Schizosaccharomyces pombe: one gene and its partners. Changing the gene in region 1 together with any one later gene gives a genetic interaction. Each region holds a gene or a part of one and is shown in the gene's direction. Other genes may lie near its edges. The genes, in order: mcm4, rum1 and mst1.

What was found.
Region 2: of mcm4 (region 1) and rum1, changing one suppresses a phenotype caused by changing the other (phenotypic suppression), as found in Schizosaccharomyces pombe (one study listed by BioGRID).
Region 3: mutations in mcm4 (region 1) and mst1 impair growth when combined (synthetic growth defect), as found in Schizosaccharomyces pombe (one study listed by BioGRID).

The regions. Positions count from the first base shown.
Region 1 is NC_003421.2:898,231-901,987, forward strand, and holds the start of mcm4 (MCM complex subunit Mcm4/Cdc21), read left to right. Parts: upstream 1-2,157; 5' UTR 2,158-2,171; coding exon 2,172-3,757. Other genes in the region: 19S proteasome regulatory subunit rpn1302, read right to left, coding at 1-402, 513-597, 795-925. UniProt on the Schizosaccharomyces pombe protein: Acts as a component of the mcm2-7 complex (mcm complex) which is the putative replicative helicase essential for 'once per cell cycle' DNA replication initiation and elongation in eukaryotic cells.
Region 2 is NC_003423.3:2,797,562-2,801,318, forward strand, and holds the start of rum1 (CDK inhibitor Rum1), read left to right. Parts: upstream 1-2,115; 5' UTR 2,116-3,027; coding exon 3,028-3,720; 3' UTR 3,721-3,757. UniProt on the Schizosaccharomyces pombe protein: Regulator of cell cycle G1 phase progression. Ensures the correct sequence of S phase and mitosis in the cell by acting as an inhibitor of the cdc2 mitotic kinase. Probably interacts with cdc2 to inhibit its action until the cell mass for Start is reached.
Region 3 is NC_003424.3:4,561,087-4,564,843, reverse strand, and holds the start of mst1 (histone acetyltransferase, KAT5 family Mst1), read left to right. Parts: upstream 1-2,014; 5' UTR 2,015-2,068; coding exon 2,069-3,460; 3' UTR 3,461-3,607; coding exon of another isoform or gene 3,608-3,757. Other genes in the region: slm1 (cytoskeletal signaling protein), read left to right, coding at 1-950; ATP-dependent RNA helicase Rpm2, read right to left, coding at 3,608-3,757. UniProt on the Schizosaccharomyces pombe protein: Catalytic component of the NuA4 histone acetyltransferase (HAT) complex which is involved in epigenetic transcriptional activation of selected genes principally by acetylation of nucleosomal histones H4, H3, H2B, H2A and H2A variant H2A.Z.

The DNA.
Region 1 (3,757 bases):
CTCACTTGACGCACGATACATGTTTGCTGACTCGTTAACGTTAGGAAATCTTGGCAGGATAGCCGGTGCTTCGGCTGTAGGTGATAAAACTTCCCAGTTAAAGTCTTGCAGAGCATCTTGGCTTGCTGCACCAAACAGTTGCAGCAGTTGGCTGGTTGATGAATCATCCGTACCTCTACTGCTAGAATTATTATGTGAGTTGATAGTCCGAGTCGTATTCACAGGGTCAGCAATTAATTGATTGATTAAGGAAGCTGTTTCCTTGTCTTTTTCATCACTATACTCCTGCATCCAGTAAAAATGAATCTGCGAAGAGGATTTAAATTTTAGTGCATATACGCGTCCCGTGGTACATTCATCAATTTTGATAAACTCTGCTTCTTCTGGAAATATGATGTAGTCCTTCATTATATGTTAGTAAACATAAACCAAATTAAAAAAAAAAAAACGCAAAAGTAAATTTATATATATAAATAGGTATACTTTGCAATTGATTTAAATTGTCTTCATACATCTTCTACTTCTCTAGAAACCCTGGCCCTTTCTTTCCAATAGAAATGCAATAATTCATCAGAAGCCATTTGCATATAGATAACTCTAAACAAATGTCAGTATTAAAAATCAGATCTTTTAACTTTATAAACAGAAAACAATTCCACAAAACCCAACAGTGTGGATTTTCACGCATCCTTCCAACGTAAACATGCAAAGAAGCTTCATAAACAATTCTTTGGGTAGAATTTCGTTTTCCCAGTAGAAAGGACTACTATCTATATTATTATTATAGTACATACCCTTTTCGGTGATCAGCTTGCAGAATATTCGTTCCTGGCTTTCTTTGAAGTTTTCCAGCTTTTACGGAGACTAATCCATACTTTCCTCTCTCGCTAGTCTCGTTTCTTACTCTTCCAAAAACTGATTCCATTTGTAATTTATTTTTTGTCAACTCAAAAGCTCACGATTATTGACCTTGTGAATTGTTGTGGTATAGTTGAGTATGCAGTGTACACAGTGCAAGTGAGCAAAGTAATCCACACAAACGTATCATGTCTATAGACATGATTTCTCAAAATCATTTAATTTTCTAATTGTCGCCACTATAATCATCTTTTATCATGTAATAGACAATCTTTTTAGGTGGTTAACTGCTCTAATATTTGAAGCTGATTTATCAAGCCGCATTTGATGGTTTCGCCTAAAAAGATGTTTTAATAGCAAATTAATACTACACTTTAAAAGGAAAAGGAACGTTCCACTATGCAGTGGAATTCATCTCTTAAAGGGCCTTGAAAAGACATAAGCCAATTTTTGTATCATCGTTAATGGCATCAATAGTAAAACAGAATAAACCAGTTTTCACCAATTATACATAGAAGAAAATCAAGATACAATAAATGTCTATAATCCTTTCAGGTTTTGAAGAGCAAAACATAATCGAGAAAAAGTATGCGTCCTACACAATGGTATTTCACTAGAAATAATAGAAAAATACATTCATACACTATTTGAAATTCACACCATATAACTCATAATATACAGACTTAAGTTTTTTTTATTAGAGACAGTCCAGTAGTCGAATGGTCAAATGAACTCTACAAATGGTTAATATAATAACAACTCAGGTATTCAATATGAGAGAAAATTCAAAATAAACCTTATTTTAAGAAATATTATTAGTAAAATTACTAAATCACCATCTGCCCTCTTCAATTAGCGTCAAATCACAGTTAATAGATTCGACCTTCAAATACAACTGGTAGTTCCAAATTGCAAAAACGATCATCTCAAAATGTTAAACTAGCATAACGTTTAATTAAAGCAATGTAATCCTTTATTTCAACATTCTTTTCATATTTCTCTTCATTCGTCCAAAAAAATAGAATATCACTTAAAAGGAAGTAAGTCAATAACAAATTCATAATACCTTATTTATGATAACAAATTTGCTTTAATTGATCCTAATATCTAGTGTCGCAAAGTTTTTTAGTTTACATTTTCATAGTCAATTACTGGTAGCTTGATGATCAATGGAGAATATGACAAATTGTTAAAAAATTATACAAATTTCCAATTATTTAAATCTTTGCTATGCTATTTATCTCTTCATTGTTGTATGTTTATGAGTAGTTACTCTACTCCCTTACACTGTCTTTCTACACCCACCACGAGTCATGTCCTCTAGTCAGCAAAGTGGCAGAGCCAATGAGTTGAGGACTCCTGGAAGAGCTAACAGCTCTTCAAGAGAAGCAGTGGATTCTTCTCCGTTATTTTTTCCTGCTTCGTCTCCTGGTTCTACACGCCTTACAACACCGAGGACTACAGCGCGTACACCTCTCGCTTCCTCTCCTTTACTGTTTGAATCTAGTTCACCAGGTCCAAACATTCCTCAGAGTTCACGTTCTCATCTTTTATCTCAGCGTAATGACTTGTTCCTTGACAGTAGTTCGCAGAGAACACCGCGCTCGACAAGACGTGGAGACATCCATTCTAGCGTGCAAATGTCTACCCCATCTCGTCGAAGAGAAGTTGACCCTCAACGTCCCGGGGTAAGCACTCCTAGTAGCTTGTTGTTTTCTGGGTCAGATGCACTCACGTTTAGTCAGGCGCACCCAAGCAGTGAAGTAGCTGATGACACTGTCCGTGTCATTTGGGGAACAAATGTATCTATTCAAGAAAGTATCGCTTCCTTTCGTGGATTTCTACGTGGGTTTAAGAAAAAGTATCGACCTGAATACAGAAATGAACTTATGCCACCTCCTGATGCCGAACAACTAGTGTATATTGAAGCGCTACGAAACATGCGTATTATGGGTTTGGAAATATTAAATCTTGATGTTCAGGATTTAAAGCATTATCCCCCAACCAAGAAGCTATATCACCAGCTTTACTCATACCCTCAAGAAATCATTCCTATCATGGATCAAACCATTAAAGACGTTATGCTAGACTTGTTAGGAACTAATCCTCCCGAAGATGTTCTTAATGACATTGAGCTTAAAATTTACAAAATTCGTCCTTTTAATCTTGAAAAATGCATTAATATGCGTGATCTTAATCCTGGTGACATTGACAAATTGATCTCTATTAAAGGTCTGGTACTTAGGTGTACACCTGTAATACCCGACATGAAGCAAGCATTTTTTCGATGTTCAGTTTGTGGTCATTGTGTTACCGTGGAAATCGATAGAGGGCGAATTGCTGAGCCCATAAAATGCCCTAGAGAAGTCTGTGGTGCTACAAATGCAATGCAGCTAATTCATAATCGTTCTGAATTCGCCGATAAGCAAGTTATTAAACTCCAAGAGACACCTGACGTGGTACCGGATGGCCAAACCCCACACTCTGTAAGTCTGTGCGTATATGATGAACTGGTTGACTCTGCTAGAGCAGGAGATCGTATAGAAGTCACTGGGATTTTTCGCTGTGTACCAGTTCGTTTGAACCCTCGCATGCGTACTGTAAAATCATTATTTAAAACTTATGTCGACGTTGTTCACATAAAAAAGCAGGACAAACGTCGTTTGGGTACGGATCCTTCTACGTTGGAAAGCGATATTGCTGAAGATGCTGCTTTACAAATTGATGAAGTACGGAAAATATCAGACGAAGAAGTGGAAAAAATTCAACAAGTTTCAAAGCGGGACGATATATACGATATTCTTTCCCGGTCTCTGGCACCTAGCATTTACGAAATGGATGATGTTAAAAAGGGGCTTTTGCTACAGCTATTTGGTGGAACGAACAAGTCTTTTCATAA
Region 2 (3,757 bases), on another chromosome or scaffold:
TATAATTTAAATGATATGAGTAAAAAAGCTGTTTACAATTACTTGTGTAGCTTTTTTAATGCAAACGATTTTAGAATAAACTTCAAATCCCTAAAACTATCGTAAAGTAGTTCGTTTTGAGCGATTGGACGGATTCGTGGTGAAAGGTGGTTGAGTGGTTTCACGAGTGCTTGTCCTGCTACGAGTTGAGGGGTGCTGAGGAACGGAGGGCACATTACTGACTCGTGAAGGTGGACGAAGTCTAGAGGAAGTTTTAGAAATTATACTTTTTCTATTTGAAGAATTGAGACCATTATTAGGAATCGAACTTGCTACGGATGGCAAGTTGGATGTTGGTATAGTAGGAGCAGAGGAGGTGGCCGATTTTGGAATTGCGGATTGGCGATGACTTGCAAAAGATGAAGAAGGAGTCCTAAGTGAGTTTGGGTTAGAAGTCGTAGCCATGCTAACCCGAGAACGCACATTCATGGATGAAGACCTTGGGAACATGGGAAGGCCTAGAAGGTACATATGAAGATGCGGCTCTTCTTGCAGGTCGGACCTTTGGATCTTTAGACCTTAATAACCTTTGCTGCTGTTGTTTTTGAAGAGCTATAGCTTCCTCTTTTTGCCTTCGTTCTTGTTCAAGTCGTTCTTGTTCTTGTTGTAATTCGATCTTTCTCTGCTCTTCGGCTTGTATTTGAAGCATTTTTTGATGTTGCAATCTTTCTAATTCTTCATTATCAAAAGACAAACCTTTCCAGTCGCTATTTAGTATTAGATTCTGAGTATGCTCCGTTTGGCTTAGAACCGATGACCATAATTGTATTAGACGATTCGAGTTGTTAATGGAGGTTTCGAATGACTTTATTTTTTCTTTAGAAGCAGAAAGACCATCCGTAAGCTTTTCTATAGTGTAATTAAAGCTCCTTAAAATCTGTAGTTCTTGTTGCAATTCAGATGTCATGTTCAAAGAAAAAGATAGACTATCCTATTAACTGAAGACAAGAAAAAATCACTAAAAAATATATAATTAACTCAAGTATAGAAAATAATTTCTTGTGTGCAATTTAAGCCTAACAAAGTATTCGATTGAAGATGTGCGAATTGTTTAAAGAAATTCAGTACAAAGAGTAGACGAAGGTTGTTTTTATTTTTTTTTACAAAAAATATAATAAATTAAATGAAACAGTTTGAAAAGAAAATTGCAGCGACTCCAGTTGTCCCTTAGAATAAGAACGATAGGAAATATGAGGCAGAGGTTAGTGTTTACACAGGCAGAGAAGAAGAAATGAATTGAATAAAGAGTTAGTTATGTGCATTACATTTTGATAATAGTTTTTGAAGAGGAAACATATTTTTAATTTTTAATTTAACGAACCTATCATTTTAATTGTTTCATTTGGCAAATGCATTGATACTATTTATTGTAAACAATAGGTAATGAAGCGTAAAATAAGTCATAACATGAACATTCATTTATGAATATTTTAATTATTGACCAATATGTTTATAATATTTTTTGATAAATTATGTTAGTAGCGTATTCCTTAAACACATAAATAAACATTGTCACGATTTAATTTTTAACAATTGTGATATATTTTGGAAATACTTAGCGATGTAGCAACCGTGTATTTACTTTGCATATTGCTGTTCCCATTTCGATTTGAAAATGGTGTTTGAAAGATAGTCGATTCTTCATAAATCCATTTTTCCTGCATTTGAGCTAAGGTAATAAATATTGCTTATACCATCAATTTGCTAATAAGGAACAATCTTAACGAAATATCCCTTGAATTAGTTTTGATAGTACTTGCTTTTAAATAACAATAAGAGACTTATTTCATTTACCATACTCGCGAAGTTTCTTCTTTATTAGAACTTCAAATGTAGTTTACTTTTATTTACGGTTTTGCAGTCATATATTTTTATTTTCGAACTGGAATATTTCTATGATGCTTAAAATTGTTAGTAAATTTTTTAGATTTTTGCTAAAGAGAACAGAAAATCGATTCTCATTTAAAATCTAACTACACATTTATGCAAAAATTGTACTTGATCAAAGTAATTAATTTAGCGTACTGCGTTACAGCCATCTAATAGTAATGGTTACCACGAAATGAGCAAATAACCAGTTAACCAGAACGTCAAACATACAGTTCTACTACTACATACATAAGCTTTGGGTTCCTTGACAGCGGTTGTTGCAAACTGAATTTTTTTGTTTTGGATTATATATAATATACAATCAATTGATCTTGTTTAGTCTTGATTCGTGTGTGTTTACTTGAGTGCTGCAGTAATATATTACTAAATTGTACGAATTTGGTCAAAGAGAATCCGCTTTTTTATCAGTTTTTTATTTTTAAAATTTAATTTTGAATTATACTCTTTACAAGGAACGGTAGCATCTTTATAAGAAATCGAGCATTCAATTTCTATGTGAAAAAGTTGAATTCGTCTAAGCAAACAACCAACTAGTTTTTAAATTCTAACATTAGAAAGAATATTTTTCCTTGTTAATTATTCTATTTACAATTTTAAAGTTGGCACATATCTTTTTTTGATTGGTTGATTCTTTGATATTTTAGCTGCACTTACTTCTTGGTATGAAGTGAAATTTTGCTTTTTAAAATAGACATTTTCCCATTCCCGTTTTCTAAAAGATTCCTTTTTTTTGTTTACTCCGAAAATTTCAATACCTTTCTTACAAGCTACAATCCCATTTTGTTCCTTCCTTTTGATATATTGAAGCCATTTCAATTGTTTCTATATTATTTCAAACAATTTTACAAATATTGTTTAAATTGTATAATTATCAAAGCGCAGTCGCTAGCTTGGTGGGTATTAAATTGTTACCTTTTCGTTTGCTACAGGTAACTTGTGAACATTTCTGGTGCTGAATTTTCCTACACCCAAAAACCATTGAAAAATACATTTTTTAAATCATATCGGAAAGCTTGAATACACGCTCTTCTGATAATCCGCTCGATACATAAAGGATTTCTTCTTGCATTTACCTGGTTTTTGGATTGTCAGTTCGCTATGGAACCTTCAACACCACCTATGCGAGGGTTGTGTACTCCATCTACCCCAGAGTCTCCTGGGAGTTTTAAAGGAGTCATCGATGCTTCGTTAGAAGGTAATTCTTCTATTATGATAGATGAAATCCCTGAAAGCGATTTACCAGCACCTCAAGTTAGCACATTTCCACCTACACCTGCTAAAACTCCCAAAAAGCAATTACTACCAAATTTAATGCTACAAGATCGGAGTAATTCTTTAGAAAGATGTATGGAAGAAGACAGAGAACACAATCCTTTTCTCAGTTCATCTGATAACCAGCTTTTGTCAAGAAAGAAGAGAAAGCCTACTCCTCCTCCTTCTGATGGTTTGTACTATGTTTTTCGGGGGAAAAGAATCAAGAAATCCTTCAGGCCTGGAACTGATTTATCTACTTTTAAGCCCAAACTCTTGTTTGCTGACTCGGCGCCTTCTTCTAGTTCAGATAACCCAACATCCTCTGTAGACCTTAATGACTATTCTCAAATTGGCATTCTCCCTCCAAACCTGAATTCTATTGGGAATAAAATGTTCTCGTTAAAATCAAGGGTTCCATCTTCCTCGTCAGGTTCCTTTGTTGCTCCCCCACCGCAAATGCGTTTACCTGCGTATTCATCACCACAAAAATCACGATCTAATACAAAAGATGAAAACAGGCACAATTTATTACGATAACTTTTTTTCGCATTTTGTAATTGTGTTTGATACCGTT
Region 3 (3,757 bases), on another chromosome or scaffold:
ACGACCCTTTTATTGTAGATAGACAAGTGCTAAACTGTTTGGCTCGACAAGTTCAAGAAGAGAACAATCACTCCGTAGCAGTGGCACAGCTTCAAGAATTTTCTTTTCGTTTCGAGCAAAACCTTATCGCAAAAATTAAAGACACGGTTAAGCAGTTTGAGGGCATGATGAATCAAACCCATGTCAAAGCTATTAATCACCTCCAAGAAGTTGTTCGCGTATCAGAAGCACAAACCCTTGCTGGCGAGTGGACCGGATACGCAAAGCGTGAGCCGGAATTTATTCATGGCTCTGTTCCCCCCCGCAGCGTTGATGCTATAAAATATCCTGGTAAGAATGACCAACCCACTGTACCTATCATGGCTGGTTATTTAATTCGTAAAACAAGTTTTTTAAAGAAAAAACAAAGAGGTTTTTATGCCTTTACACATTCTGGCTATCTTTACGAATTTAAATCTTCTGATTCACTTCAAGATCCTGAACCCGAATTCGCCCTTTACATACCTGATTGTCTGATCGGTCGCCCTTCTGAGAAGAAACCCAAGTTTAAAATAACTGGCAAGGATGCTACTAAGAAAATTTTTGGCGCGCGAAACGATTACGCGTTTCGCGCTTCTAACAACACCGAACTAATGAGATGGTGGGAAGCGTTGAATACCCATATTGCTAATGTGAACTATATACAACCTTTAAGCAACGCAAATGGTCCATCAGCTGTTTCCGACAGTGATGATGATGATGATGATCCAAATGACTTCCGTCCAGCCGTCGAGCGTCAAAGTTCTACGATGAATACCCGTATGTCGCAACCAAGCTCTGCTGTCAATACAAATCGAAGTTATGGTTCGGAACAAATTCCCTCATACGCAGATAGCCAAGGAAATTCTGGCGCCAACAACAACTTTATTTACAACGCTAGTGCTACTGGTCATAATGCTTGGAATGTATAAAGATTGTATATTCGCAAATTAGGTACGAAATGTGCTCATGTATATTTGTTACACTGCCGTTGTGTTTTAAATGGCAGTCTTTGTAACTCCCCCATACCCGTCTTAATTGTATCTTTTTGATTCCCGTTTAAAGCACTTGAATGTTGATTGTGAACCATTTTACTGTTACTGTAATGAATTCATGATAGTGTTTCTTGATATATAGTGAACTTTTGAAACACCAGTCAACAAATATATAGGTATTATATATAAACTCAGAATAAATACATTTTCTGTTCACCCATACCTGTGGCTGATGACTGTTTCAATCGGGAAAGTTACTTTTTAATGTAGCAGGTTTCATTCCGATATATCTCAACCGCTCGTTTCATGTTTATTAATTTAGCAGCTGGGATGATGGTATATACCTTGTAAATAAAGTGCCTAACATACTTTTATTGGTTTTTGTGAATTAGCTGAGCGCGTTAGTGAAGTAAATTCCCTTAATTATGAAAAGTACTTCTATTATTCCTTATTGGCATTATTCTTTTAATTGGAAACGGAAAACTGAAGAATTGTATTACTGTTTATAGCATTTTCGGTACTTTCTGGACAAATTTCGAATATACTCGTGTTCAAACCCGAGAAAAATATTTTCTAGATTTTTATATTATCAAAGAACACTAATTTTAATTGAGCATTTCAGGATTTTTGAAGTTGATCGTTTAATTTATCACAGCTATCTTGATATGTGTAAAATGAAAGTATTTATTACTCTTTTCATCCTTTCAAAAATTTTATTAATTAATTTACTTTCTATTGGAAACGAAAAGGTTAGCATCGTTTGCTGTAAGCGCAGGTTGAGAATAATTACGTCGATGCTATAATAACGAGCGAAACTCTAACTTTAAAAATCATCTCGCTTAATGAATTTCAAGGTAGCAAAGATTGTAAATTCGTCGAAATTTGCTAAACAATTTAATTTAAAGCAGTAAAGTTCACAAAAAACATACCGACATTTAACGAATCGGTAAAGAAATGTTTTCGAAACTAGCAAAACTCACCACCATGAAAAAAAAATTTTCAGGGTGGCTACACAATTTGTACATGGAATAAGTATCCACTTATTGAGACTCAAGATGTCGAATGATGTTGATGATGAGTCCAAGATTGAAACAAAGTCTTATGAGGCTAAAGACATAGTTTATAAATCCAAAGTCTTTGCATTTAAGGATGGAGAATATCGAAAGGCGGAGATTTTAATGATTCAAAAAAGAACTAGAGGCGTCGTCTACTATGTACACTATAATGACTACAATAAACGTTTAGATGAATGGATTACAATAGATAATATTGATTTATCGAAAGGAATTGAGTATCCACCGCCGGAGAAGCCAAAAAAGGCTCATGGAAAAGGAAAATCCTCAAAACGTCCAAAAGCTGTTGACAGACGACGATCGATTACAGCACCTTCAAAAACTGAGCCTTCGACGCCTTCTACGGAGAAACCTGAACCATCCACCCCTTCTGGAGAAAGTGATCATGGATCAAATGCCGGGAATGAAAGTTTACCGTTATTGGAGGAAGACCACAAGCCCGAAAGTCTTTCAAAAGAACAAGAAGTAGAAAGGTTACGGTTCAGTGGCTCAATGGTTCAAAATCCTCACGAAATAGCTCGAATTCGTAATATAAACAAAATTTGCATAGGAGATCATGAAATTGAACCTTGGTACTTCTCACCGTACCCTAAAGAATTTTCGGAAGTAGATATAGTTTATATTTGCAGTTTTTGTTTCTGCTATTACGGATCTGAGCGACAATTTCAAAGACACCGCGAAAAATGTACATTGCAGCATCCACCCGGAAATGAAATATACCGTGATGACTATATATCCTTTTTTGAAATTGATGGAAGAAAGCAACGTACATGGTGTAGGAATATTTGTCTTTTGTCCAAACTTTTTCTGGATCACAAAATGCTTTACTATGATGTTGATCCCTTTTTGTTTTACTGTATGTGTCGCCGCGATGAATATGGATGTCACTTGGTAGGATATTTCTCAAAAGAAAAAGAGTCCTCCGAAAATTACAACCTTGCTTGTATCTTAACTTTACCTCAATACCAAAGACATGGTTATGGCAAGTTACTCATACAATTTTCTTATGAATTGACCAAGCGTGAGCACAAACACGGCTCACCTGAAAAACCACTTTCTGATTTGGGGTTGATTAGTTATCGAGCGTATTGGGCTGAACAAATCATCAACCTTGTGCTTGGAATGCGAACTGAAACCACTATTGACGAATTAGCCAACAAAACTTCAATGACTACTAATGATGTGCTACATACACTTCAAGCACTAAATATGCTTAAATATTACAAAGGTCAATTTATTATCTGTATTTCAGATGGAATTGAGCAACAATACGAAAGATTGAAGAACAAAAAAAGAAGAAGGATCAATGGAGATTTGTTGGCAGATTGGCAACCTCCTGTTTTTCACCCTTCCCAACTACGATTTGGATGGTAATTCTGTACAAAGAATGGATTAGATGCTGGTCGTCTTTCTTAAAAAAAAAAAAAATTCTCATAATTAAAGTATCTCCTAGATATATATTAATGATACTTAAAGTTTGAAGGAATAGAGACTAATTTGTAACCTTTTATTTCATTTTAGTTACTTTTGTAATTTCGATATTCCTTTGATTAGAAAAGCCTCTGCTATTGCCTTGGTTTTTTCGGCTGCTCCATTTTGCAGGATAGCTGGATATCGTATACTAGCCCACATGTATGCTACTATTAATTTGTGAAGCTGCTCTAGTTGTTG